Linked DNA regions of Tamandua tetradactyla. The protein of the gene in region 4 interacts with the protein of the main gene of each other region in a pairwise test. Links are inferred from orthologs where the notes say so. Each region holds a gene or a part of one and is shown on either strand. Other genes may lie near its edges. The genes, in order: PIN1, RPL9, PBLD and CCDC184.

Evidence for each region.
Region 1: the proteins of CCDC184 (region 4) and PIN1 interact in binary tests that used the Homo sapiens proteins (3 or more experiments, as listed by UniProt). The two-hybrid records come from large-scale screens. The link is inferred for Tamandua tetradactyla from reciprocal best matches to the Homo sapiens genes CCDC184 and PIN1.
Region 2: the proteins of CCDC184 (region 4) and RPL9 interact in binary tests that used the Homo sapiens proteins (3 or more experiments, as listed by UniProt). The two-hybrid records come from large-scale screens. The link is inferred for Tamandua tetradactyla from reciprocal best matches to the Homo sapiens genes CCDC184 and RPL9.
Region 3: the proteins of CCDC184 (region 4) and PBLD interact in binary tests that used the Homo sapiens proteins (3 or more experiments, as listed by UniProt). The two-hybrid records come from large-scale screens. The link is inferred for Tamandua tetradactyla from reciprocal best matches to the Homo sapiens genes CCDC184 and PBLD.

Annotation. Positions count from the first base shown.
Region 1 is NC_135337.1:91,911,445-91,919,088, reverse strand, and holds the start of PIN1 (peptidyl-prolyl cis-trans isomerase NIMA-interacting 1), read left to right. Parts: upstream 1-4,641; 5' UTR 4,642-4,691; coding exon 4,692-4,749; intron 4,750-6,668; coding exon 6,669-6,875; intron 6,876-7,644. UniProt on the Homo sapiens protein: Peptidyl-prolyl cis/trans isomerase (PPIase) that binds to and isomerizes specific phosphorylated Ser/Thr-Pro (pSer/Thr-Pro) motifs.
Region 2 is NC_135345.1:41,212,828-41,220,277, reverse strand, and holds the start of RPL9 (large ribosomal subunit protein uL6), read left to right. Parts: upstream 1-4,431; 5' UTR 4,432-4,439; coding exon 4,440-4,519; intron 4,520-4,555; exon of another isoform or gene 4,556-4,642; intron 4,643-4,979; coding exon 4,980-5,026; intron 5,027-5,115; coding exon 5,116-5,231; intron 5,232-5,666; coding exon 5,667-5,762; intron 5,763-6,710; coding exon 6,711-6,843; intron 6,844-7,450. Other genes in the region: LIAS (lipoyl synthase, mitochondrial), read right to left, coding at 163-220, 309-465, 1,199-1,279, 1,893-1,986, 2,975-3,147, 4,230-4,274.
Region 3 is NC_135339.1:29,027,255-29,034,333, forward strand, and holds the start of PBLD (phenazine biosynthesis-like domain-containing protein), read left to right. Parts: upstream 1-4,067; 5' UTR 4,068-4,136; coding exon 4,137-4,220; intron 4,221-7,079.
Region 4 is NC_135333.1:108,230,273-108,237,293, forward strand, and holds CCDC184 (coiled-coil domain-containing protein 184), read left to right. Parts: upstream 1-4,291; 5' UTR 4,292-4,706; coding exon 4,707-5,300; 3' UTR 5,301-6,518; downstream 6,519-7,021. Other genes in the region: ASB8 (ankyrin repeat and SOCS box protein 8), read right to left, coding at 4,009-4,123.

The DNA.
Region 1 (7,644 bases), on a different chromosome or scaffold from region 4:
CCCAGGTTCAATTCCCAGACCGTGTGCCCCCCCCCCCCAAAAAAAGGAAGGCAAGAATGAGCACTGTGGGGCTAGAGTAGAGTTGGGGTATCAGTATGAACTCATGGCTTTTGTTTAATATATGTACAGACAAACACAGAAATACACATATATATTTCCTTGCTGTATCCACCGAGAGGGACCAGAAGCAGAGGCATTCCAGTACCTAGTGCCCTGATCCTGGCTTCTAAATACTATTCTCCAAAAAAGGATCCAGGGCTTCTCGGCGAAGTGGTTGATTCCAGGGCAGGCAGGGAAAATACAAGATGACAGAGAGTAGGAAGCGTTAAAAGATGGGAGGGGAAAAAAAAACAAAAAACACAGCAGCTATTATGAAAGAACCACCCAATGGTCAAAATAGAACAACTTGAGCAGTGAAATAATAATAGTATTTGATTATAAACCAAAGAATAAAATAGACTTGAACCCATTCTAACATTAATTAATAATTGAATAAATAAGTAAATGGGTGAGAAAGGACAACTCTCCCTTTCAGAAAGTTTCCAAATAATATAGATGGAAAGGTAAAATTAAGAGATCCCACTGGAGCACCACAGGGGTAATTGCTGCAGGCAAGATCCACTGGTAGATGCTGAAGTGAGTGACAAAATTTAAGCAGAAGTAGGAGGTTTGCATAGTCTCAAAGTATGACTCTCAAAATGCTTGTTCATTACAAAAGAGGAAAATAGTAAGTATAGATACCACTTTAATCAAGTGATCAAAGTTAATATCATCAGTGTGGTAAGCAGTCTCTGAGATGGCCCACATCCTGATATTCTAACCCTTGTGTAATCCTGTCTTCGATGTGGTCTGCATCTGGTTTCTAATGAATAGAGTATGACAAAAAAGATGGGATGTTACTTCTGACAGTAGGTTGCAAAGAAACTGCAGTCTCCATCTTGCTTGCTCACTCTTGCTTTTTTGCTTGGTCATTGATAAAAGCTGGCTGCCATATGGTAAGCTGCTTTATGGAAAGGCCCCCAGCCAACAGCCAGCAAGGAACCTTAACACTCAGTCCAGCATCCTCTGAAGAGCTGAATCCTGCCAACAACCATATGGACCAGCTTGGAAGCAGGTCCTGCCACAGTCAAACCTTTTGATGAGCCCGCAACTGTCCATGCCAACACAGCTAAGCTGTGCCCAGATTCCTAACCCAGAGAAAACAGATAATAAATGATAATCCACTAAGAAGTGGGATCATTTGTTTGCAGCATTAGATACTGTACTATAATCAGTAATAAATTTCAGCATCATCTATCACCTGATAATATGCACTGAGAAGGTCACATGGATTCTGTGGTATCCGCAATATGCATAACCTTGGCTAATCATGAGAAATGGACTAACGCATCATGACAACACATCAGAATGAGGGAATTCTATCCTTTAAAAGTGTCAAGGTCATGAGAGACAAGGGAAGAGCCTGTGGTTTAGTTAATAGCATTGCACCAATGTTGATTTCTTAGTTTTGATGACTGTTTTAGGCCAAGATATCCCAACCTTGCCGCTGTTGACGTTTTGGCTGGATACTTCTTTGTTGTGGAGGCTGTGCATTGTAGGATGTTTTGCAGCACCCTTGGCCTCTACCCACTTGATACCAGTAGTGTTCTTCCCCTGCCTCCACCACCATTTGTGAGAACCAAAAATGTCTTAAGACATTACCAAAAGTCCCCTGGAGAGCAAAGTCATACCCAGTTGGAGGCACTGCCCTATTTCTGTGTAAGATGGTATCATAAGAGAAAGCTGGGTGAAGGGTTAGGGGAACACTGTACTGCATTTGTACCTCTGCTCTAAGTCTAGAATTATCTCAAAAATAAAAGTTCTTTCTTAAAAATTGATGCTAATTCATGCTTGTGAAAAAAGACCCAGGGGGTGCAAGGGTAGTTCAGTGGTAGAAGTCTCACCTGCCATGCAGAAGAGCCGGGTTCAATTCCTGGTCCATGCACTTCCCAAAAATAAACAAAAATTCAACAAATCGTGCTGCAATAATGGGATACATGGAAAAAATAATGAAATGTGACCCCACCATACAGCATACCAAAAAAAAATCCAAATAGTATATTAAAAATTGAGTTTAATATCTTTATTCACTCTCATCACCAAATCATTAACACGTTTGAACAAATTCCAAAATTTTCTGATTCAAATCTATAGTTTTTACACAGTTGAGATAAGTATGTATGTTTATACTGTTTGCAGATTGCTTTTTCACTTTATATTTTTGACGTCTTTCCATATGCAATCTATCTCAGTCTTTTAATTGGTACCCATTTTAGTTTCCCAGCTGTTAAAACAAATACCGTACAATGGGTTGGCTTAACAGGAGTTTATTGGCTCAAACTCTCAAAGCCTAGAAAGCTTGTTTGCTCCCAGGGTCAGTATCTTCTGGCTGACTGGCTGTCTTGGCTTTTCCACCCCATGGCAATGTGCATGGCACCTCTTCTATCTCCTCTGGGTTCCCTTGACTTCCAGCTTCTCACTTCCAATAGCTTTTTCCTTCTATATCTGAATTTCATTCTGTTTATACAGGACTCCAGTAATGTGGATTAAAACTCAACCAGATTGAGTTGTTTTGAAAGTGTAGCCTACTCCAGAAAAACCACGTCCTTTAATCATGATTCAGTATTGCAGGGTGGGAACCTTTGATTAGATTGTTTCCATGGAGATTGACCCACTCAATTGTGGGTATGACCTTTTTGATTAGAGTACTCCCATGAAGATGTGGCCTGCCCAATTATGGGTGTGGCCTTTTGGTTAGAAGATGTGGTTCCGCCCATTCAAGGTGGGTGTTGATTCGTTTATGGAGTCCTTTAAAAGAGGAGACATTTTGGAGGAAGCTGAGAGCTGACAGAGATGCAGACACCTGGAGATTCTTGGAGGGCTGACAGCATATAGTGGCTATGTACCTTCCCATGAGGTGCCAAGCTAATCAGAACCCAGAGTTGTGTCCTGGAGGAATTAAGTGAAGACACTTAGAGAGGAAACCACTCGAATCAGAAGCTGGATGCAACGGAATCAGGAACAAGGACCAGCAGACGCCAGCCATGTGCCTTCCCATGTGACAGGCTTTCTTGAGTCAAGGTATCTTTCTCTGGATGCCTTTAGTTTGGACATTTTTCTGGCTTTAGAACTGTAAGCTTTGTAACAATAAATTCCCTTTTTAAAAGGCATTCCATTTCTGGTGTATTGCATGCTGGCAACTTTAGCAAACCAATACACTGATTCAGTTGGGCTACACCTTAACTGAAGTGTCATCTTCAAGATCCTATTTACAATGGGTCCAAACCCATTAGAAAGTGGACTGAGACAAGAACATGTCCAAACTGGGGTGCAATTCAACCTACCACAGTATTCTTTATTAATGTTTTTGTTTTGTTTTGCTTTCGTGCACATTATAATTGCTCTGCTGAGCCATGACTTGCTTTTTTTCACCCAGCATACAATACTGACATTTTCATACCATTGCTATGGGCCAGGCACTGTTTTCAGTGCTTTATCTGAATTAATCCATTTACTCTTCACATCGAACTGGTGAGTATATATACGTATATTTTTTGGTCTCCATTTTGCAGATGGGAAGCCCAAGCACAGAGGTTAAGTGATTTGCTCAAGGTCATAGCAAGGTACCGCCCCCATCCTGCCTCGAATTTGTCCTGGACCTGCTTTCCCTCTGCCTCATTCTTTTCAACAGAAACCCACGCTTTAGATGAACTATAATTGAACTCTCCCGGTGGGTGTCTTTGACTCCCATATCATCTCCACCCTGCAGTGCTCCAGTCCTGAGTCCTCATCCACCTTCCCAGTGCCCCACGGGCACCGCAAACCCAACTTAAAATTGGCTCAAACCAAGCTCATCGTCCTCCCCGGTTCCCACCCGCGCCGCCCCCCACCCCCCACCCCCCAGGACGGAGGAAGGAGCGAGGTTGAGAGGGAATAAGTGATGGGAGCAGGTCCCAGAGGAAGGGGACGGTGTCAGGAATCAGTAGCACAGACAGGGGTTTAGCCTGGCCAAAAATAAAGGAGGGCGGGTTGGCTTTGGACTTCTGGTTGGAAACAGGTGGGAAAAGGGAGAATGGAGGAGCCTAATTTAGGTTTTGGGCTCCCAGCTACTCGTCACCAAGGCGACTGCGTTGCTATGGCAACAGCAAAGGCAACACCGCCTTTCCCAAGAACCTTGTCGGCTGCCGTTACCCCCACACCCGGCAAACACTTCCCCGAGGATAGCAACCAGGGGGGCCTGCGGACCTCTGGGGACGGCTTGGGAGGGTGGGAAGGGCCGCCTCGGTGGCCAAGCACCAGGCTCCGGGTTGCCCGGCTGGGCGGCGAGGCAGCGACGCCGCGATCTGGACTCTGAAGCTCGCCAAAGAGCGTGGAGAAAGGCGGGCCCGCATCATGACCCACCAATCAGAGGGACGGGGCGGGGCGGGGGTGAGGCCGGTCGGGGGCGGGGCCTTAGGGAAGGCAGGGGTGGGGCCGCCTTCTCTCTCTTCTGCCCAATAAAAAGCCTGGCAGCGAGGGCCGACGGCGGGGGTGGCCAATAAGCGTTGTCTCCAGGCCCGGGGCGGGGCGCGTCGAGCCAATCGGCGGCGGCAGTGGGCGGGTGCGGGCGGCGGCGCGGCGGAGGCGGAACGGGCGCTGCGGAAGAAGGGAAGATGGCGGATGAGGAGAAGCTGCCGCCTGGCTGGGAGAAGCGCATGAGCCGCAGCTCAGGTGCCGCGGGAGTCGGGGGCGGCCGGGGCCGGGGCGGGACCGCGCGGGCCCGCGAAAGCTGGGCTCGAGCTACACCTGGGGCCCCGCGGCGCTTCCGCCTCTTTCCCGTGGGGTCTTGGTTCCTCCGCGTTGTCCCCGAGTAACGGCCCTGTGGGGCCTCTGAGCCTCGAGAGCCAGGAAGCCGGGGGAAACTGAGACCGGGGTGCGGTGGGGAGGGGCCAGGGAGCCCGCAGCTCACCCCCGGACCTTGGCCCTGTCTCTGCCGGCCCTCATGCGCCTGACGTCCCTGTATCCCTTCGGGCTCGGAGGGCATCCCTGGAGAGGGTAACCCCATAATCCATGCCCGGGGCGTGGCTTCCTCGAAACACCCTTGCCAACCACACTTAATGCACGGTCTGTGATATCCACCGCAGAAACCCTGTCTGAGCACGGGCCCTGCGTGGGGACCCCCCCCCCCCCCATAACGACACCAATATCAGGCCACGTTCATCTCTGCACCAGGCAGAATCTCCCCAACTCTGGGAACTTGACGGTTATTGCCCCCATTTTGCAGGGCAGGACACTGAGGCCAGAAAGCTTAAGGAACTCTTGCCCGTGGTCATTCAGTTTAGGGGGTAGTGACTGGATTAAATCCAGTAAACTGGATTATATATATCGAAGAATCTTAGTTTTTTGATAAAAAAATTAAACCTGACTCCCGGGGCCCTCCCCAAAATCATGTCACTGCAAACTTCATAGGAGCCCAGCAGCTATCTCCAGAGCTCAGAGGAACAGCACTTTGCATGCATCTTCATTGACTCTCTCTCCACACATTCACCCATGAGGTTTGATGTCCTTATTCTCTCACCCCCACTCTTCAGATGAGAACAGTGAGGTTCAGGGGGATAGATCTCATTGCAGAAGGTTTTGTAGTCAGTGACTCACCTGGATTTGCCCCCAGAACCCGAGCCCTTGACCTGCCCCCCCACCTTTGCCTGTGTCTGGGTCCTGTGGCATCAGCCTGATGCTCTTGCCAAGCTCTGGGTTCCCCCACTCCTGACAGTCACCCTCAAGGGTGACCCCCTGCCCTATGCAGCACTGGGCCTGAGTCTTCTATGTGACTCAGGCAAACCCTCAGCCCCTGGGATAACAGTTTTCTCTACTGGGTCCTTCAGGCTTGTTTGCAGACTTCACTTGTACGTGCTCCTCAGTCCCTGGGTGGACCATGGCCCCCGGTAATGCTGGTCCCTGCTTCTTCTGCAGGAGATTATACTGTGCCACAATGGAGAGCAGAGCTTTTGTGTACAGTTCCTGTCTCGCCCCATGCCCCCATCCCACTCCCTGACCTTGGAGCAGAGTAAACAACTGAGGAAACGTTACCCGCTCTTGCTCTTACCACAGACGGGGAAGCAGGGCCTCAGTTTTGCCATCTATAAAAGGGAGGTAATTCTTACATTCTTAATGCATGCCAGGCTCTGTCCTAAGCACTTTATAGATGAGCACTCATTCCTTCCAACAACTCTACAACAGCAACTGTTAGCTCCATTTTACAGGTGGGAAACTCAGGCCCAGGAAAGGGAGAGCATACATACTTTCATACAGTGAACGAATAGCAGAGGTGGATTTGAACCGTGGTGGCATGGCTGTTGAGTGTACACTTGAAACACTCTCCTGTTTTGCTCTCTTCTGTCCCTCCTGGGTTATTTTTCTTTTTGAAGTTATCGATGACTGAAGTTGTCTACTTTGCGTCTTTAGTGCCCGTTTGTCCCCACCTAGTATGTTAACTTCCTGAAGGCAGGGACTGGGTGCTGTTAGATTAGCCCCAGTGTCCCCGGGGCCTATGCCACATGGCAGACACACCATGGATGTGCCAACTGAACACTGGCCAGTCTCTTATCCTGACTTCCAGTCAGCTGAACTTCCACCTCCCTCCCCTCCAGGCCGGGTCTACTACTTCAATCACATCACCAATGCCAGCCAGTGGGAGCGGCCCAGTGGCAACAGCAGTGGCAAAAATGGGCAGGGGGAGCCTGCCAGGGTCCGCTGCTCACACCTGCTGGTCAAGCACAGCCAGTCACGGCGACCCTCGTCCTGGCGGCAGGAAAAGATCACCCGGACAAAGGAGGAGGCCCTGGAGCTGATCAATGGTGAGCACAGCCAGGCACAGGATATCAGTGGAGAGTCTTCACTCTAGGGAGGGCTGGTGGGAACGGGCCTTGTGGGAATCAGACCAGACACTCAGCCCCAGCTGTGAGGTATGGCATGACATGTCACTGCAGGACCTGAGCCTGGCACCCATGGCTGCCTCTTCTTCTCACTATCTGGCATTTCAGGTGAGCCAGGGTAGGCATAGAGGACCCAGCCCTGGAGGCTAACAGATCTGGGGACCCCAGGACCTTGGGGGACCTTTGTCACTGCCTGTCCTCCAAGCTCAGTTTTCTCCTCTGTAAGTGGGCATCACCATGCACCTGCCTCCGAGGTGAGGTAGTGTTGGGCACACAGTCGGCTCTCAGTTGTGGAGCTGTTTTAGTATCATCCAGCAGAGCCCTGGGTCACCTGTGTGGGCAGGTGGGTCCTGAAGGTCATAAAGGTCACACACGCAAAAGGAGCCTTTTGCGTGAGTGAATTCTGACCTGAGAGCGGAGGCTATTCCTAGCACTGTTCTGTCTCCTTCACAGTCTAGAGCAGGGATTGACTTTTTTCTTAAAAGGGTAGATGGACAAATAGTTTTGGCTCTGCAGGACATAAGGTCTCTGTTGCAGTGGGAAGGCAGCCAATAACAATTCGTAAACAAATGGTCGTGGCTGTGTTCCACTAAAACCTTATTTGCCAAAGCAAATGGGGTTTGGCCCATCAGGGTTTGCAGAACCCTCGTCTAAAGCTGTCTAGTATGGCCACCACTATCTACATGAGACC
Region 2 (7,450 bases), on a different chromosome or scaffold from region 4:
TATACTTTTTCTGGAGAAACAGCCACATAATTACCATCAGATTATCTAAAGAATTTGTAACCCCTGAAAAGGTTAATAATCATTGCTTTCAGGTAAAGACCCTAAATAAATGGAATTTATATGGGACAAAAAGGTCTAATTTTAAATTACAAAAGCAAATACCTTTCCTTTAAGCACGACACAGTCTTTGCAAAGTGCTCAGCTCCCCCATCAGGCATATCTAGAAACAAAAATAACCCATGGTTCCAGACGATGTCACAATTTAGTAAGAGCCAGTTTCAGGAAGTAGACATGATTGACATACTAACCATCTCGATCCACAGATGTCAGGACAACATAATCCAGACCCCACTCTGCAATTGCCTTTGCAGTATTGTAGGGCTCATTGGCATCCAGTGGAGGTGGATTTTTTGCAGTTTTAACAGAACAAAATCTACAACCTCTTGTACATGTGTCACCCATCAACTAGAAAAGAAATGTTGTAATTTAAATCAAACAGATGATCCTCAAGAAAATAATGTTAAGATAATGAACCAAGCTGTAAAGAAGTTGTACAGTTTGATTGTTTATAAAAAGTCTGAAATATTCCAAACTGAACAATAAGTAGTTAAGCAATAAAAATACATGTAATAAAGCTATAAGGAACAGGACACTCGTGTCAAGAGAAGGGGATGGGATCAGGAAGTGACACACAGGAGGGATTCAAAGATAATGCTGATCTTCTTAAACTGGACAACAGTATCTAGGTGTCCACTGTATTGTTATTCTTTATAACTTACACACAGTTTATAAACATTCTTTTATATCTATTCGGAGCAATAAAATGATTTAAAAAAAACAAAATACACAATTGTTTAACAGCAATGTGCAGGTCTCTGTTGGAGTTAAATTGAAGCACAGCTCCTACCTGTAAAACAGATGGAACAGAAAAACATTTCCAAAAATTAACAGAAGAGATGTTTCAAGGCAGCACATGATCAGCTCTCAGGTAGCTGACAGAATCAATAACAGATTCATTCAAAGAATGGTGAGATCATAATAGGCTGGATTATTATCAGTTCTTTCCCTTCATATTTCTCATAAACTCCCATATAATGAAAAATTTGATCAGATTCATAATGCACATTTTTAGTAGGAAGACAAAAATATTTCCTGTCAGTTTCTAGACTTAAATTTCAGTGTCTGAGGCTGTCCTTACCATGATTGTGGCTGTGGCTGTGGCATATTCTCCACCTCCCCAACACTCTCCGATATTGGGACATCGAGCTTCCTCACACACCTGTGAGCAAAAGGGAATAATCAGGTTGAAAATAGTAACCAATTGAACAACTTGGAATTAGGCATTTTAAACTGCCCTTTGTTATATTAATGAAGAAATTCCCTATTCAAAAAATGCTGTTCAATTGCCAAACCACAGGCCTATCCTTTAAATTAAAATCGATATGCATGTATATATTCTATAGGTGCAAAGTAAAAAGGTCTATGAGTCTGAAAGTATAAGAGTGGCATGGTTAACATTTGGGATTGTGTAAGTGACATGCTTTCATATTTAACTTTATATTATTTTCAATGAGTTCATAATTTTGTTTGTAATATAAATCAAACAAAACTTGTTTCTCAAGTTATAGAAAAAATAATATATACATATTTTTAAAAATTATTAAATGAGAAGTTAAGAAATACAAACTATTACTATCTTTTGTTTCTCTTTTGAAGGGAAACTTATTTTAAATGTATTCCAATTGCTGGAAGTAATGCATCAATGACATTTTTTTATTTACTTCCTCTGAATTGTTATTTATATATTTAATATTAATTTTTAAGTTATATATATATGTAGAAACAGCATGACTTTTGGATAAGAGGAATATTTAACACTTTGACAGACTTACTGTATGAAGATTTAAAGTTCTCAATGTATTTTTCAGTTTACTGTAATTTTTCCCCATGGGAATCTCTGTCTTTAACCATGGAGGTAGTCTTAACCTGAGGAAAGCCAAACATAACTATCTTTTAACAAATATACTGCTAAGGAATCACACAGTTTTGATATCACTTTGCTCTATTACAATTCCTAGTTAGGATATCCCCCGCCACCCTGCTATAATGCTGAATTAACTCATAATTTCAGCTATAGGAATAATACAATTTAGGCTTACTCAAACCACATTAGAAAATATTGAAAATGGCATCTAACAAGGTATTATGTTTATGTCTAAGTTTTGCAAAGGCAGACTTACACCATTCTAATAAAAGAATAAGTTTTTTAACATCTCATTCCCCAATGGATAATACTGCCCCAAAGTACTATATTTGTTCAGAGTAAGGCAAGATCCCAACAGTGCACTATGTGCTCTACATTCTAGATTTTTAAATGATTATTAAATGGAAAAAAGCTAAAATTTGGAATAGAGATGATCTATTCTCAAATTCCCCTCAACTTTTGCCAATTCGTGATCTAGAAATTGTTGGATAAAGTATCCTACAAAACATTTTGCCCTATGGATGAAATTCCCTCACCATTCTTTAGAATTAAGGTAAGGTGTTTATAGGTTACATATAAATTGACTGGGAGCAAAACAAGTTGGATCATCAGCATCAAGTAATAATAAAAAATTTTTCTAAAGTCTACACAGATTAGTAGCAAAGTTTCAACTTTCATTCTCAAGAAATTAGATGCTGGGCAGAAAATAGGAGATCGTACTTGAAGATGGTTAAGGCTCCTGAAATAGGTCTTGGGAAGCTTGAAGAAAAGCTGTTACAGGGAAAAGAGAAAAGAAAAGGATTCCGAAAACTTCATTACTTCTTTGTTCTATTTAGGTTTTACTAGTTAGCACTTATTTTTCTGGTGATTTTGGCTAAATTTAACAAGTCTAAAATAAAAAAATAATAATCTGGAGTTTGTTATATCTGGAAATAATGCATGATGAAAGAATGGATATTAAAATTAAAATTGTCTCAAAATTTCAATTACCTTTCTCCTTTCTGGCGTTTTAAGTTTCCTTTATATTCGACCCAGGTGTTCTTGTCTGTAAGATCACCAGATACAAAATCTTGAAGATCTGGTCCATTCTGTAAAAATTCCTTTTTTTCTTCTGACAAGGAACTCAATGCTCTGACTGGACTGCATAAATACCTTCCAAATATCTAGAGAGAGAGAGAGAGTTCATTATATTACCTAATTTATTTAGTGGGGACTAGAATAATTTCTTTTTAACCTATTAGTATCTAGAAGGGAAGGTAAAGCCAGAGAACTGACTCAGAAGTTAGTCAAGATATTTAGAAGTTCTAATTATGTAAGAGCTTAGAATCTAAAGAGAGCAATCCAAACTTAAAGATGAATGGGTGTTAACTGTTTTTGTTAGATTTGAATGGATTTGGAAACCTTTGGAACCAACATGTCACTTTCATGTATCTCACTTAGGTACTAAAAGGCGGTCTTTCCACAAATTTAACCTGCAATAACTGGAGAGGATGCCACAGGAATTTTCCATTCCTGACTTGAGTAAGGACACGTACATGGAAATGTGCAAAAATCTTTCTGCTTTGGCTTTCCATAAGCATAAGTGTTAAACAAAAAGGAAAGGCCAAGTTAGTTTTAGAGAACTGGAAGGAGGAAAACCAAATCGAATGTTGTTTTTATTTTCCAGTTTACACTGACTCTGTATTTGAACATCAGAATAAATATTTGTTGAACATATAAAGCCATGGTATTTTGGCCTCTAAATATAAACACAGATGTGCACAAGAAAGCCAAACCGTTATGAAGTTCAGGAGTCAGCACATGTAACGCAAGGTAACCTTTAATAAATTTAGAGTTAGGCTGCGGCACAACTGCTACTGTACTTTTCCCTGTCTCCCTCCAAAGCCTAAAGGACCGGTAGAATTGTATTTACTACACAGTGAACGCAGAATAATAATAAGCAGTAATTTGGAGTGCTAAGCGCAGTGCCTTAATAAATGTAGGGTACAAAGCACTGAGATAGGTGCTGGTGGGTGTAGTCCTCAGCGCTGGGCCAGAGAACATTAAATCAACTCACTACCAGAGATACCACCTCATAGAGCTGTCCGGAGAATTAAATGACTTAGTATATGACAAATGCTTGGAACAGTGTCTGGCGCAAGGCAAACGCTACCAAGTGTTAGGCTTTATTACTGGGCACTCTAAGCGTTTGAAGGGATGGGTGCCCGCCACCCAATACCCACAAACGACTCGTCCCGCCGCTCACCCGGGGCCCTAGTACGCGGGCGGTCCCTCTGTAACGTAGAGACATCTTCTCTTTGGATCTAGCAGGGTGGAGGGACCAATGATTCCTGGGAAAGTACAGCTTAATGGACCGTCGCTCAGTTCACGTCAAGATTCTCAGTCCGCCACTGACATGATGGCACTTGAGCTGCGTCGCAATTGGCTGCTTTAGCCTTAGCGGCGTCGCGCACTTATGACGGAATACTTAGGACCCTACGTGCTACAAGAACGTGATGACGAAACACGTTCTCTCTTTGCCGCGTCTACTGTGAGGTGAGGACGATTTTATCCTCGCTGGGCTTCGAGAATCTGAAGCCATCCGTTTCGGGAAAGCGGGGGTCGCGGGTCTGGCGCGCGGAGGCTTCATTCTGGTTTTAACCCCGCACAAGGAGCCCGGTATTGACATGGCGGTGCTGGGATTCAGGCCCTGTTCTGGGCGTTTAGGCCTCCTCCCGCCCCTCGGTCTTTCCGGGATGGCGTGGCCAGAATGGGGCCTCCCAAGGCAGCGAAAGTGGTTTTGGCTGACCTTCGCCGGCTGGGCTGTCTAACACCGATTTAGGGCCGTCTTCTCCCAAGCGAGGACACTTTGGGGGCCGCTCTAGGGCGTAGGTAGTTATCCTGTGTCCTTCCCAAGTTTTTGCCTGGAAGTCTCCTGTAGAAGTGGAACTTTGCCGGGTGGTTTGATCGAGAACACACTGCGCCGGTTTTTTCACTTCGAGTGTTTATGTTTCAGAATGAAGACCATTCTCAGCAATCAGACTGTCGACATTCCAGAAAATGGTATGAGACTTAATGTTTTGTCTTTTTGCATATTTATTAAACGTCCTTTACCTTGCTTTGTGGTCTCACGAATACGGTCTTTCTTCTAGTCGACATCACGCTGAAGGGACGCACAGTTATTGTCAAGGGGCCCCGGGGAACCCTGCGAAGGGACTTCAATCATATCAATGTAGAACTCAGTCTACTTGGGAAGAAAAAGAAGAGGGTAAGGTTTTTTGATACTTGTTTGGAATATGGTGACTTATAATAGCATGCAACTTGGTTGCTTTAGAAATTGCAGAATTGGAGGTGCAATGTTTTACTTGAAGGTTTGATGTTCACAATAGTAGTTGACTTGTTATTTAGGGAAGTTGAAGAATGAAATTCTGCATAAAGCTTACTAAGTAGTACTCAGTGGCAGATCTTTGTACCATTACAAATTAGGTTTAACTGATGTATTTCTCTCAGTTGATCTTAGAGATGGTACAGTGGGTCATTTAAAATCTGGTATTGTAGAAGTGAAGTTTGTTGTAACTTACAAAAGTCATTGTTTTGGGGTAGTCATGCCCTTGTGAAATTGTGTACCTGTGATGTAGTATACTTATAAAAACATTACATATTGAGGGCTCTAAAGTTTGGGGTTTTTTTTCCCTGTTAACAGCTTCGGGTTGACAAATGGTGGGGAAATAGAAAGGAGCTGGCTACGGTTCGCACTATCTGTAGTCATGTACAGAACATGATCAAGGGTGTTACACTGGTAAGTATATTGACCACACTTGTTTTGGGAGAAGTTTCTCAGTTGTACTTGCCTTCCTAAGAGCATGGAATACACATGTAATTTAGTGGGATATAAGCGCTAGAACTTGGAAAAATAGTCGTGGAAAATGTGGCATCCTTGGATCTTTAGAATTGAATGATGTGGTTAAAGACCAGATGGGTGGAATTTTAAAACAAAAACAGGATGATGGTGTATTGTTTTCACATGAGAGGCTTAATTACTTTTTAGAAAACCAGAAACTACAGCTGCAATAAGTACAATAGACTTTGGTTACTTGTTAGTATGTTTAACCACAAGGGCTCCTTGGAGGTGTAGAAAAGATGGATATAACTTGTAACTGAACTCCTCCCAATTTCTCAGATGCATAGATGATGTGGGTAGTCTCTTTCCAAGGACTTCGTTATTAAGAGAAAGTTTATGCTACTGCCATTGCTGAAATGCTTTTCTTTCCCTTGCTAAATTTAAATTTAGACATCCTTTAGAACAGCGCAAGCTTTACTTACCTTCTGGAGTGCAGTTGATGATGGGACCTTGTACCTACCTCCATTATGAACCTTGTCAAATCAAGTTTCTCCCTATCTTGCTTCCAGACTAGATTCCTTGAGAGCATGGGGCCTGTGTCTTACTTGCCATCTGGCATACCTTAGTAACTGGATGAATGTCCACTCAGTGCTAAAGATGAGGGGCTCTGAGGGCTTTCATTAAAAGAAGTTAGCATATTGTTTGCTGTGGCCATGGGAGGTAGTAAAATAAGTGCTTCTTGGAAGAACTTTACGCTGTTCAGTGAAGAGACACTGAAATGTGTGTTTATAAAAATGTAAGATTTGGCAGAAGTGTCAGTCATAAAAACTGAGGACAGTTAAAATTCTTGAAAGTATAATGTAAACATTGTACAAATTTTTGAAGCTGAATTTATTAATGTTATAGGGTTTCCGTTACAAGATGAGGTCTGTGTATGCTCACTTCCCCATCAACGTTGTTATTCAGGAGAGTGGTTCTCTTGTTGAAATCCGAAATTTCTTGGGTGAAAAATATATCCGCAGAGTTCGGATGAGGCCAGGTATGTGCATATCCTCAGATATTCAGAAATTTTTCCTTCATACTTGTGAAGGTTGGTCATTTGGCTTGCCTATGAGTAAAACCAGATTATTTCAGAGTTCCTTTCTGATATTTACAAGATTTAGTGCTAGGTAAAGATTTATCTTTACCAGTTGTGGATCCTGACGGGTTATACGTTGGAGCAATTTGCAGGGCGTGGATGTTGGCTCAATTATGTTTGCAAATTGAAATCCTAAAAAGTGCAGTTAATAGTGTGGACTGCCAAGTATCATCTCAACTCACTGGCTCTCATTTTGCGCATCTCTAAAATTGGAAATATCTCATGATTAAACTGAAAAACACCAAGTTTCTTTGCCTGAGACATAATTAAGTTTTAAAGCCTAGTACTCTGGATGCTTTTTTATTCTATTGAGATAGAAATTATTTGATAACTATCTGTAATTAGTGACATTTAATGAAAACCTTTATGTAAAAAACTTTGAGGGATACTAAATATATACAATAGAAATAAGATTTGCATTGTGTGAATAGTGTGTTCTGGTACTGTATCACCGAGAGAGCCAGCAACCACCCTGGGACAGTGTGATTAAGCAGGTTTTGGCCCAGAT
Region 3 (7,079 bases), on a different chromosome or scaffold from region 4:
TTACTCTTCATTTCTGTGCCCTCTTCCAGACCTCCCTCTCCTGTCTTTTTTTTTCAACTGGTAGAAATCTCTTTAGTATTTCTTGTAGGGCTGGTCTCTTGTTGACAAATTATTTCAGGATGTGTTTGTGAAAATTTTAATCTCTCCCTTAGTTTTGAAGGACAATTTGGCTGGGTCCAGAATTCTTGGCAGGAAGTCTTTCTCTTTCAGAATCTTAAATATATCATACCACTGCCTTCTCATCTCCATGGTGCCAGTTGGATTGTCTAAACTCAGTCATGTGGTTTCCCTTGTATGTATTAGATGGTTTTTCTCTTTGCTGCTTTCAGAATTTTCCGCTTCTCTTCAACAATTGACAGACTGGTTAGTATGTGTCTTGGGGAAGGCCTATTGGATTTATTCTGTTTGGTGTTCACTGGGCTTCTTTGATTTGCATATTTTTGTCTTACACAAGGGTTGGGAAGTTTCCCTCCATTATATACTCAACTACTCTTCCTAGCCCTTTTCTCCTCTCTTCTCCTTCTGAATCTCCTTATTTTAAGGTTAGTTGATCAGTAACCTTATTATGTCTACAATTTTAATTCCCCCTTGCCATGAAATGTAACATATTCACAGGTTCCAGGAATTAGGTCATGAACATCTTTTGAGTGGCCATTATTCTCTCATGGACTAGCAATGGCTTGAGCCTTAACAGCATTCACTGTTCACATAAGCAGAAGTTTGGGGGTAGTAGGTTCTAACATTTTATTTATCATCAAGAACCCAGACTATTTGTTACCTAGCTTGGCAGTTCTTCTTACGTGTCACCTCATGATCAAAAGATAAGTGTTATCTCTCTAGGCATCAGCAACATGTTCAAGATGGGCAAAAGGGGGTAAGGGCAATAGAAGATATTCTCCACTCAGCCCTGCTACTTTTATCAAAAACAAAGTACTGGTCTGCAGCCACATCCCAAGTCCCGGCTTCCTGCCTTCCTCCCCAGACAACATGAGCTTCACCACCCATTCCACCACCTTCACCAACTACCAATTGCTGGGCTCTGTCCAGTTGCCCAGCCACCAGGTCCGGCCGACCAGCAGCGTGGCCAGTGTCTATGCGGGCCCAGGCAGCTCGGGCTCCCGGATCTCTGTGTCCCGCTCCTCTAGCTCCCAGGGCGGCTGGGGGGCCGGGGGCCTGGCCAGCAGGTTGGCCATGGGCCTGGAGGGAATGGAGGGCATCCAGGGTGAGAAAGAGGCCATGCAGGCCCTGAACGACCACCTGGCCTCCTACCTGGACAGGGTGAGGAGCCTGGAGACTGAGAATTGGAGACTGGAGGGCAAAATTCCTGAACACCTGGAGAAGAAGGGATGCCAGGTCAGGGACTGGGTCCACTACCTGAAGCCCATCGAGGAACTAAGGACTCAGATCTTTGAAAATTCTGTGACAATGCCCACATCCTTCTGCAGATTGATAATGCCCGACTGGCTGCTGATGACTTCAGAGTCAAGTACGAGACTGAGCTGGCCATGCGTCAGTCCGTGGAGAAGGATATCCATGGGCTCCAGAAGGTCATCGATGATACCAACATCACCCAGATGCAGCTGGAGACGGAGATCGAGGCTCTTAAGGAGGAGCTGCTCTTCATGAAGAAGAACCATGAGGAGGAAGTAAAGGGCCTACCAGCCCAGATTGCCAGCTCTGGGCTGACCGTGGAGGTGGATGCCCCCAACTATCAGGACCTCAGCAAGATCATGGCAGACAGCCAGGCCCAGTATGATGAGTTGGCTCAGAAGAACCGAGAGGAGCTGGGCAAGTACTGGTCTCAGCAGATTGAAGAGAGCAGCACAGTGGTCACCTCTTAGTCCACTGAAATAGGAGCTGCTGAGATGACACTCACAGAGCTGAGACATACTGTACAGTCCTTGGAAATCGACCTGGATTCCATGAGAAATCTGAAGGTCAGCCTGGAGAACAGCCTGCGGGAGGTGGAAGCCGGCTATGCCCTGCAGATAGAGCAGCTTAATGGGGTCCCACTGCACCTGGAGTCAGAGCTGGCACAGACCCGGGCAGAGGGACAGCCAGGCCCAAGAGTACGAGGCCCTACTGAACATCAAGGTCAAGCTGGGAGGCTGAGATTGCCGCATACCACTGCCTGCTAGAAGATGGAGAGGACTTCAGTCTCAGCGATGCCCTAGATAGCAGCAACTCCACGCAAACCATCCACAAGAAGACTACCCACAGGATTGTGGATGGCAAAGTGATATCTGAGACCAACGACACCAAAGTTCTGAGGCATTGAGGCAAGAGATGCAGGGTGCCCTTTGGAAAACGGTGGCCAATAAAAACTTCTGCATCTTCAAGAAAAAAACAACAAAGTATTTTCTCCAGAATCCCTGTCGTGATCTTTCCCTAAATGGGTCACATGCCAAATTGGAGTTTTTTAAGGAAAAGAGAAGGTATATGTGGCAGGGGAGAGGGAGGTATGGGAAAAAGGCTATTGTTCTGGCAAATGACAGTAACTGTCAAACTCTGGAAGTTTTTTTTCTTTAAAGAAATGTTCTCATTTGAGAAACAATGCAGTATTTCCAGTAGCCTGATAAAGTACTTAGTTGTAGATTTCATTCTTCTGCAATGAATTAAATTAAGTAAAATTTAGAGGAATATTTAAGCAAACATATTATTGTAAAAATTAACACATGAATATATATGATCCCAATAGAAAAATTAGACAGTCTCTTTAATATATAGTTATTCATCCAATTAAAAATGTACCCAATGGCTGGGACCAATGAGTTCATAAAGTTAAAAACTTGCTCCTTTTGGCACACCTATGATTTACAAATTTGTCTCAATTCTATTACATTTATGGAAATAATATAATTATTAGAACTTTAATTTGTTTCTATTCTTTATTCATTTTTCTAAAGTAATAAAGGCAATATATTAAAACATTTCTAATTACATAAACAGATCGTAATATACTGTCAAACACAGTAATACTACTGATCTGAAATGTTGTTTCACAGGGGGTACCATCATGAGAAATCCCAAGTACTTGTCAGCCAATGTGTGAAGTCCAGTTTTAGCGTTTTTCTCAGTTTATTATTTACTTTCTTACTTAATTCAATATGTACCTATTGCTTTCCAGAAATTCTAGGAGCTGGGATTATAGCAGAGAAGAGAAACAAGTCCTGACTTCATGGTTCTTACAATTTGGTTAGAATAATTCAACAAAAGCAAATGAAAACTCAAAATATTATATTTCATTTATCAGATTAGCAATGGTAGGACTCCCTCATACTATGTCTTAATTTATACAATCTTTCTGAAAGTAAATTGTGTGTATAAGTTTAAATGTCTACACATTTTTACCCAGGGATTTCACTTTTAGAAAGCTATCATAGATTAAAAAAAAATCAGAGAAGTAGATTTATCTACTTTTTAGTTTGATCACTACATTATCTTTACCTGTGAAAAATTAGAAACTTAAATATTCGCTAAAGGGGAAATGGCTAAATACTTTGTAGCATATCCATAAACCTATTGTAAATCTATTAAACTGATGTTTTTAAAGCATTTTTAGTGCCCTTAGGAACTATTCATGCTATAATGCTAAGAGGGAAAAATGTGATTGAAATTCATATCCAAAACATTAATAAATGATTGCCGGTTTGTATGGTTGTGTGTGGGTTTTTTTTTTTACTTATTTTCCATTGTTTTTATAATGGGCACTTTTTAATAATTAGGAAAAAATGTGTTCATTTGAAATAGTAGAGATTTCCACTAGTAGAGTGTAAATAGCAGATTTCCTTGCCTCTTGGCCATTTTATGCACTTTATTATAAACTTAGCCTATACTAGTTTTGTCTACTCTAAGAAAGGATATGATTGTGCTGTTATATACACTGTATGAAAACTCAATACAGTATTTGAAAAGATTCCATTTACTCAGTATGTTAAAATAAATTCAACTTAGAAGCTTTAAAAAATATCTAGGGACCACATATCTTTAAATACAGGTGTGTTAAAAATAATCGCTTGACTTTATACCTGGCAACTGCTAGTTGCTTCGCTACACCAAGTAAAATATTAACTTTTTTATTTTTTGCAACAATTAGACATAAAGTCTACCAACAACTTTAAGAACTTGCAAGAAAAATGAAGCTCCCTGTTTTTGTAGTAGATGCATTTACAACAAAAGCATTTCGTGGGAATCCTGCTGCTGTTTGCCTCCTAGAAAATGTAAGTACTTGGATTTGAAATTCTACATTCTGTAGAACCAATTAGTTCTTTTTTTAAAAAAAAAAAAAAAATCAGACCCAGCTGTTTGTTTACTTCTTTGGTTTGTATTCTTTGGTAAATTATATCAGCAACATTCATATCCCGAAGTTGATTTTGACCAAATAGTATGAAGAAAATGCTTGCACCTCAGTTAAGTTTAGAGAAACGAAGATTCATCTAAGGAAGAACTAGAATTAGTTAACACCAAATGTTCATGAGAATGAGATTAGATGAATTTTATGTGATTGGATATGACTTCTATTACATTTAGTCTAAGCAATTCTAGCTGGATATTTTTAACTCTACTTACAGTTCACACGAGTAGAAAGTCTCTTCAGGACTAAGAAAATGAGACATTTTGCAAGGAATTATAAAATTAAGTGGAAGGTACTAAGCCCTAATATATAGTGACTTTAGCTTACCGCAAGTCTCTTTTTTTTTTTCCTTGCACGGGCAGGCACTGGGAATCGAACCCGGATCTCAGGCATGGCAGGCGAGAACTCTGCCATCGAGCCACCGTTGCCCTCCCTGCAAGTCTCCTTTATTTTTTTTTAACTTTTGCATGGGCAGGCGCTGGGGAATGAACCTGGGTCTCCAGTACGGCAGGCGAGAATTCTGCCACTGAGCCACTGTCATGCCACAAGTCTCATTTTTAAAATGACTTTTTTTTTTTATTAGGATAAATATTAACAGAATAGTTTAATATTCCTTGACCTTAGGGGCGTTGTATTGGTCCCTGGGTAGTAGGAAACAAGCTAAGGTAAGGTTCCACTCAGAGCAGTTGGCTGGTGTAAGAGAGGATTACCCGAGAATTACTTAAGGGACACTAAGAAATTGATCTCAAACAAGTCATATTAAGTTGGGCAAAAAGCGTACGTTGCCTTCGAGTGCAAAGAATCTCATCATGGCCTGCACATTAAAATCACTAAGGAGCTTTAAAAAATTCTAAGTCCAGACTGTGTCTCAGACCAATTACATCAGAATCTCTGGAGGTGGGACTCAGGCATCACTGTTATTTTAAAGCTCCTCAAGTAATATGTGTGCATTCAAGGTTGAGAATCGCTAAGGTTTTACTGATTTAGGTGAATATTGTTAATTGAGTCCTCAGTACATAGCTGTAAAATGGTGATTTAAAGTCCTCATCTCACCTTAACAAGGCATCCTTCTTGCAGTCTTGTAGGTGGCATTCTCCCTCCTCAAAATGCAAAAAATAATAAATAAGTTAATAGGCTTTCTCAAGTACTAACTCTCAAGAGCTTGGGCATATTAGTGAGAGGATATTAACAACCAGATTCCAAATTGTGAGCTTTGTTAAAGAAACAATCTGGCAAACATAACTTCTTGTCAAGGAATTTGGAATTGACTAAAACTGCTAGGTCAAGATTCTTAGTAGATTTGCTCATGTCCCCATGTAATATCCTTGAAGAGATTTGAAATAGTTTTAAGTGATTTATATACTCAATTGTCACCAGATAACCAGAATTCGCATTATTTTCCAACGTACTCCTTTTACCTCCAGTAAATTCACTGAACACCAGACTTAGAGAATCTATATCTGTCTATCCATCCATCCATCCATCCATCCATCCATCCATCCATCCATCCATCCATCCATTATCATCTATCTACCTATCTATTTCTCCATTAAAATATATATTCCATGTTATTTCTGTATTTAGAAAGACTAGGAAAGAAATATTTTAGCTTAGAGCTTAACAAAGTTCAAAGCAATAGACTTAAGTACTAATGAAAGGAGGAAAAAGAAGACGAGAAAATCCCTGATTGGGGAAGAATGCAAAGCTCATTCAGGTCTTCCAACTCACTTGTTTGGGTCTTGGCCTGTGAGAACAGGCTAACTTGATGACCTGTCAGGGGCACGTGAACAGGTTTTATTTATTTATTTATTTATTTTGTTGTTAAATTTTTTTTATTTAAAAAAACAACCAATACACTCAGGACCACCAACAATGAATATCTTAGTTAACTTAACCATAGGCATATTTAAATAGAATATCCATATAATCATTGTAAAGCCTGTGTTTGCGCAGTAAGTTTCATAAACCAATTTAAAATTAAGGCAACAGGGAAAAAAATCTATGTATCCAGATAGCGAAGTTCTTAAATTCTAAATATTAAATGCTAACTTAGATACCATTTGATCAGCTGTCAAAACTGAATGTTCTCAAAATATCAAATAGAAAGTTCTTACAAATATCTGCATTGCTATAGTAAAGACCAATGAATGAATAGGTTTTAAAAATTAGTTTGCTAAGCCACTTCCTCATGTTTTCCCACTCTTTAGATATGAGAATCCTGTCCTCCTGGAGGTTTTTCCCAATTTATAATCAATACAAATTACAATAGATGTATAAACTGTGTTTTCTGCCCCTGAGTTCTTTGCCCATGGCTGGAGAGAGCGAACACCTGAAATGCCTAGAAAGAACAAAAGTGAATGTAGAAAAATATCAGAGACTCATAAGCGCTAAACCTTATAATGCTGACCAAAATCCAGTAGGTATACAGCATGTTGTAACACGTTGTACAAATATTTATTGACGTCTACCATGAGCCAGGCTCTGGGCTAGGGACCAGAGGTACAAAGATTAATATGTTTGCTTTCCTTGGAGGTGTTCAAAGTGCGTGTCTAGTGCATGGGTAAACAGGCATGTAAACCAATCCTTATCCAGCGGTAGACTAGGGAATTGAACTATGAGCTTTTGAATACTTGACAAAAGACTGCTGAAAAGAAAGTAAAAATTTCTGGGTAACAGTTTTAAGAGTTTCTATACAATTCTAAAGCTTTGTTTCATTTCAAGACAA
Region 4 (7,021 bases):
GGAATTGCTTATGTGAGAGTGGTGTGGGATAAATGATTGAATATGCACTGAAAGAGGAAAAAATGTCCGTGCAAGTGTTGCTATAAGAGAAGCTGTAACCGTGGGCAGTACAGAGAGGGGAGAGAGAATGGACACCGACAAAGCAGGTTCAATTGGAATAAGGGATCACTTTCAGTGGAAATTCAGCCTGCCTGAGAAGTTGGACAGAGCCTTGGAGTTCTTGCTCTGGTAAAGTTAAAAGTGGAAGAGAAAGAAGGCAATGGTATGTATGTGTGTGTGTGTGTGTGTGTTCGTGGGGGTGGGGTGGGGGTGATTGTAGTGGTTTAAGGTCATGAACAAGCCATTGAAAGTCCAGCTCAGGCTTTAAGTAAGGAGTGGATATGTGGCTCACCTCATGGCCATGTCTGTCACTAAAATCTCTTGAGGACATGGATAGTTGAGCTCCTTCCCAGTCAACGGTTCACAAGGGCCAGAATCCTTGAAAAATTCGATGCTTGTTACTCTGGGTAAGTGGGGAGATGAGCAAAGCAGGTCGGCCATAACACCAGGCAAATTATCCTCTGGTACCGAGAAAACCTAGTCTAAGTGATAGACAAAACCCATAATACGAGTATTCTCATCCTCTCAGTATCTCTGGCCCTCTGAGACACCTGTCATTGACAGCTGGGGTACCTCGAATCTGTGCAGGTCAGGGAAATGAGGGACAGAATCAAAGGAACTGAAACAAACGTGGACTGATCTACATTGGATAGGCAAGGAGTCTCTTCCTATAGAAGACAGAAGGAATACATCCAGAAGTGAGAGAAGCAGAAAAGAGAGAGAGAGTGAGGGCCAGGCTTGTGAGAAAGTTTGGGGGTATCTGGGGAGAAAGGAGAAAGACTAATGGTAACAGTTATGCTATTACGTGTGCAATAAAGGGAGAAGGAGGGAAGAGAAGTTTAAGATGGTTTACTCTGTGCTAAGAATATAAGTAAATCCCTTTAGAATTTTCCCAGAGACTTTAATAAAAATTTCAATTGCTTTTTAATTATTTTTGGCTAGTGTATGTATTTCTTTTGAATGCAATACCATACTGAGATGGGTCACAGGCACTTCAGCTTCTTAAAAGTTACGTTTGGGGAGTTATTGTTGGGGATTTGGAAACTAAAGTGCAGTAGTCAGCTGTATCTTGACTTAGATCATTGTCCTAGACCCGAGTCAAGCAAGTATCTTCATCATGACTGTTACATTAATAGTGCAAAAGATACCCAGCTATATAGAGACTGAGATAAACTAGATGCCAGATAGAATAAATAACAGAGACTATTCGGAATCCAAATTTAAGGGAGAATATGATGTTGGATCTGGGTGCACCTGATAGGAGATCTATATGTGTAACAGCATGGGGTCTCTTCTCGTCATGAGCTGATGAGACTAGGATGAGGGGATAGCAAGACTAAGATAAGAGAAAAGCAGGAAGCAGAAGCAGAACATGACGGGGGAGGGGGGATTTTTTTCTCTCGCGATGTGACATTCCTTCTGAATACTTCAGTGGGATGCCAGGATGCCCATCCTGCTTCCTTTTGTTTGGAAATGGATCCATTCAACAAACCTAGGACATTGGCATCCAGAGAAACCAGCCCTGTAATTCAGCCATCTGACTGAGGCTCTGCTCTGCTGTGCAATTTTTTGGAGACTAGATTCTACTCCTATTTTCCCAACATATTTTCACTCAGAATTCCTGAAATGATCTGGTTTTGTATCTGTCACATCAATCATCTCCTTCTTTTATTTACAAATCTTGCTACTGGTCCATTCCCAGTTCCCACCTACCCTTGGCTTTCGAATGTCTGACCTGGAACTTGATTGGATCATCGACACCCCTTCATCTCTGCACCTGTTTCCCATTTTCTTTCTTGCTTCTCCAATAATTTCCCTCTCCTCTAGGCTCAAGCCTGCTGTATTCTCAGCAGGCTTCATGGCCACTGCCTCTAGACAGCATGATGTAATCTTATGCTAAAGCCTTGACATATCTGGTATCCTCAACAATAGTGGAAAAAAGCCTTGTATGATGGCATAACCCAGCTCTGACTCTGAGGAGGCTATGTTTAATGTAGGGTTAGTGGATTGATAAAATAGGAGGCCCTCTTATGAGGACAGGGCCATTACTTGTAGGTAGCTGTAGGCCAAGAGATGTGCAGTAACAGATGCAGGCAAAAAGCCTGGAAGTCATGCCAGCCTTTTTTGGCTGGAGTATAGCTCTCTTAGGAAGATTGAGCAGGAGGCTGATTCCATAAGCTCTGCAAACAAACTTGCTATAATATGACCAGAAATGTACGCTGTACAAGCTTAGCTGCTTTTATGTGCCTTGTCTTTACAATTTTTTGTAAAGTCTATTTGTAAATATCAGCCCACTTCAGGTGTGTTTAGGGAAACCAAGAAAAAGCATTACTGTCCTCTCCTGAGCCAGTGCTTTCGGAATACTCTGTGGAAGGTAGCAGGGATAAGCAAGGTGAGAGTGATTCAACTTTGTGAAATGAAGGAAGAGTAGATAGGAAGGAAGGAAAGAAGGGAGGGAGGCATGGAGGGAGGAAGGAAGGAGCAAGCGAATAGTATTGAATCATTAGTTTTAGAAAATACTGTGGGTTTTTTTTGTTTTTTGTTTTTGCTCATTTATTGGGAAGAGGATCAAATTTCTAATGGCTGTGTACTATTGTATTATGTCAGCAATGCCTTAGATTATTTAAACATTGTGCTGTTGGACATTTAGGATATTTCCAATTTATATTTTTTAATAGCCGTAAGACAGGCAAAGGCCAAACAGTTTTTTAGTGCCCTAAGTTTCTGGGCACCAGCTTCCTCGTCATCATTAGAGCACCCAACCAAAGTAACCCCAAGGCAACACATTTGCTTTCACTGAACAACTGTACAAAAAACATTCACCCATAGCTAGCACTTCTCCATATTGAAGTGATAGTTTGTTTTTTCCCACATGTATTTGTTCTTAGGAACTTCATTTTCGGTTTCTAACCACTTGGCTTCTCTGACTTAGTAGAGACATTATTTACTAGCATGCTGCTGCTCAGGTGCTCACTGCTTCCCAATCTTGTGTCTTCTGTAAACATACTAAATCAAATTTTTCTTCCTCCACCTCAACTCTCACTCTCCCCCTCAAGTAGTGTCACAAAAGTTGGGACATTCAGTGTATGTCATGGGCACTGGGGAAGGGGGGGATATTACCCTCACACCTGGTCCCCCCCCCATCATCCCTCTACACTTTACCGTTTCACCTGTGAGCAGGTGTAGTATTATTCAGAGTTGGAAATAATGTTATGGATTATCCACAGATCGGGAAAACGTGGATCAGGAACCCACATATTCAGGAAACTGATTAAGCCAAGATCTCTGAATTAATAGTGGCAGAACCATACCCTGAATTCAGGTCTCAAAAAAAATCCACTACTTGTTGAGAGTTCTGAATGAGGGAATGGGGGACAGAGTGATTGTTGTTAAAGTACTCATTCAACGAATCTACTGAGCATTAATTTACTATGTGCCAGGGATTATTTTAGGTGTTGGGGATTAAGTGAATGAGGTGAAAAACAAAAACAAAAACAAAAACCTCTGCTTTTAGGAGCTTTCATTCAAAGTGTGAGTGCTTTGCCTCACTATCCTGGAAAACCCCACAGTGACCTAGATAGGAGCGAGTGGGTCTCCAACGGAGGAAATCCCACCCTTTCTCAGTTTTGTGCTTACTACAGTGAAATAGGCTGATTTTCTGCAGAAACTTCCGTAGTGCCCTCTTCCTGCCCCTGCACAGCTATGGCCTGCCGGGACCCACCGCAGAGCGCCGCCGCGCACCAGTTCAAGTCTGGGATTATTAGCGTAGGTCTTTCTACCCTCCGCTTCCCTGCAAACGGCTGGAGGACAGAAAAGTAGGACTTGGGTCTAGCGCCATTCCTTTGACAAAGGAATACCGACTGGTGAGAAGCATTCTGAGGCAGTCGCGCTCAGTGTCTAATACCCTACCTGGGGGAGGGATGATCTCTCCTGGGCTTGGCGTGTACGCAGCAAACTGCTCCCTCCTGCTTCCTATAGAACGTCGCAGCCACATGCTCTCTCTACCCTGAGGCCACTGCAGCATCCCCTCCCCTCCCGCCCCACCTGCTAGCTTAGACGAGGGAGCCCCACTGCAGCTTCCCAACCGTCCTCTCCTTTTCTTCTCCACTTCCTGGTTGCCATGGAGACAGACGTCATTTACGTGCCGTGCGTCGCCTTGGAAACAGAGGAGCATTCGCGGCGCGGCCGGGAGACCCACCTCTGCCGCTCCAGCCACACTCGCGGGCGCTGCCGGTTAATGGCGCGGGGGAGTCCCGAGGCGGACCCGCTGCTGGCCTCGGCCTTGACCCAGGCGCTCGTGGCGCTCGAAAGGCGTTGCCGGCACGGGCGCAGTCCAGGATAAGCAGGGCAGGGTGCTTCCGTCCCGGGGACAGTCCGAGAGTCGCCGGCCCTGGGACCCTCGCCGGGCGCGCGTCCCGCCGCCTCTGCCCTGCCTCTCCAGGTCCTGCCCGCGCCCTCCTCCCAGGACTCGTCTCCTCAAGTCGGCTCCTGCCCCTCTGGAGAGCCTGCTCTTCCCTGGGCTCCTCTCGCCCCCCCGGGGACCCCACCCCTCCCCGCCCCTTGCCCCACTCCGAGACCGGGCCGCCACCGCCCGCTTGTGCCATTCAATGGAGGAAGGTCTGCTGGAGATTATGACCAAGGACGGCGGCGACATGCCGGCGCCCCTGGAGGTGTCCACCGTGCCGGCCGTGGGGGACGTGATCTCTGGGGAGTACAACAGCGGCATGAAGGAACTGATGGAGCACCTGAAGGCCCAGCTGCAGGCCCTGTTTGAGGACGTGAGGGCCATGCGGGGGGCCCTGGACGAGCAGGCCTCGCATATCCAGGTGCTCTCGGACGACGTGTGCGCCAACCAACGGGCCATCGTCTCCATGTGCCAGATTATGACCACCGCGCCCCGCCAGGGCGGCCTGGGCGTGGTCGGCGGCAAAGGGAGCTTCTCGGGCACCCCCCAAGAGCCGGAGATCCCTTCTCCTGGGACGGGAGACAGTGGCTTACCGGGTCGTGATCCCGAGGATCAGGAGGACGACGATGAGGAAGAGGAGAAGGAGGTGCCCACCAGTTCCGCCACACCCACCAGTCACTGTGAGCGCCCCAAGAGCCCCTGTGCTGGCCTTCTTGCGGGGGACGGACCACTTGTGGATCCCCTTGATCTGCCCGACATTACCCTCCTGCAGCTGGAGGGTGAGGCCTCTCTGTAAGGAGACTCCGCATGGGCACTACCTTCCCCGGCTGGCTTTGGGTTTCCCGGTGCATGACGTGAGGGGATTGAACAGCGCGGTGCAGCATGCTTCTGACGGCTGCTCTTGTTGGTCAGACTGAGAGACTCCCCTGAGGAAGGATTTGTAGGGTGAAGACTTTGGGAGCATCAAGAATTCTTTCTGCCCAATAAGAGAGACTTTGTAAACCGCGGAAAGGTGAGGTTCAGGGAGAAGAAGCGGCCCCATCTCTGGACTACCATCCATCCCCTACCCTACCCTTGTCCCCTCCCCAGCCAACTGGAGAACTCCTAAATTATGTAAATAAAATTCTGCTTTTTCTATTCTGAAAAAGGACTTATCTAGGACTCTGGCAAATAATCTTTAAAGTTTTACCTAGGAATTAAGGAATTGGGGTATTCTGTTCTGGAAACAGGAAATTTACCTTTCTGCTGAAACCCAAGATATTCAGTGCTCTGCAGAAACCTCTCCCCCTCACAAATCTCTGCGCCTGATGATTGGTAAAGAAAGCTTGAGGAGGGAACTGCAGCCCTAGGAATCTGGGTGAATGGGGTTCCAAGGGCGCTTGGGCTGGGAGGAGCTGGCTATGTATGTGCATGAAGACATAATAGCTCAACTTCTAGGATTTTTGCATGGATCCTGCCTTGTCACTGACTTCATCTGGGATTGCTTTTCCACTCACTGGGGCTTAGAGAACAAAGAGCCCGGTTCACAGGCAGAGACTCGGGATGCTCAGCAACAGCCCAGCTTTAGGGGACGTTTGAGGGACTCTTGGGGGCTGCAGTCAAAAGCTGGTCTCACTTCTGGCTATTCCTGCTTAACTTTAGCTCCTTTTCCAGACAAAATGTCCTTGCCCACTGCCTCTTGGTGTTGCCTCCATGATGTCTTGTGTGCTTTGTGTGTCCACTTGTATAGTAGTGTGTGAGCCCTGAGGGGCAGGGCTTTTGGCTCTGATGTTAGGTTGAGGAGGCTGCAGACCCTTCTGGAGCTCTATGCTATCATGGCGCTTCCCCCTTTGCTCTCCTCCCCACCCACCCCCAACCAGGGCATGGAGCATGTGGCTGTCCTGAGGATCCTTAACTGATGTGCCTCCCTCATGCCTCCTCAAGTGGTGACTTGTGTGCTCTTCTCCCTCCTTTGTGTATTCCTTCTCAATGCTTTCCTTGGTGTGAACTTAATAAAGAGGTGTCATCTCCCCTCCTTGCTGACTGGTATCAGGGGGATATCAGGGTGAGGCTTCTGGGCCCTGGATTCTGGAAGGAACTCTGCCTTCTTTCTCCCTGCCTCCAGTTTTGAGGAATTGACCGACTCTGGTCGGGACCGACACTGACAGCTTTGCCGGCTTTACTTTCTTTCCTGGACCCTAACCACCAATTGGACTAAGGAAGGAGGGAGTATGTGTTGAGACTCCTAAACTAAATTGGGTTTTTAGTAGCCCGAACTCTAGATGTGCTAGAGATGTCTTTTCAGTGAAGTAACTGGTCCCTGGGAGATGATTTCCAAGCCTGGGTCCTGGAATGGCAGGCATAACACCTGTTTCATGGAAGGGCTAGAGAGGGGATATTGTTTGGGAGGGTTTACCTGGGATTGTTGAGAGGTAGCGACACACAAAGGAGAAACCACAGTAACTGCCACAGGCGTCTACTGAAGAATGCCGGTAAGGGGTTCCCCAGGGAACCTAGACTGACATCAGCTCTAGTCAG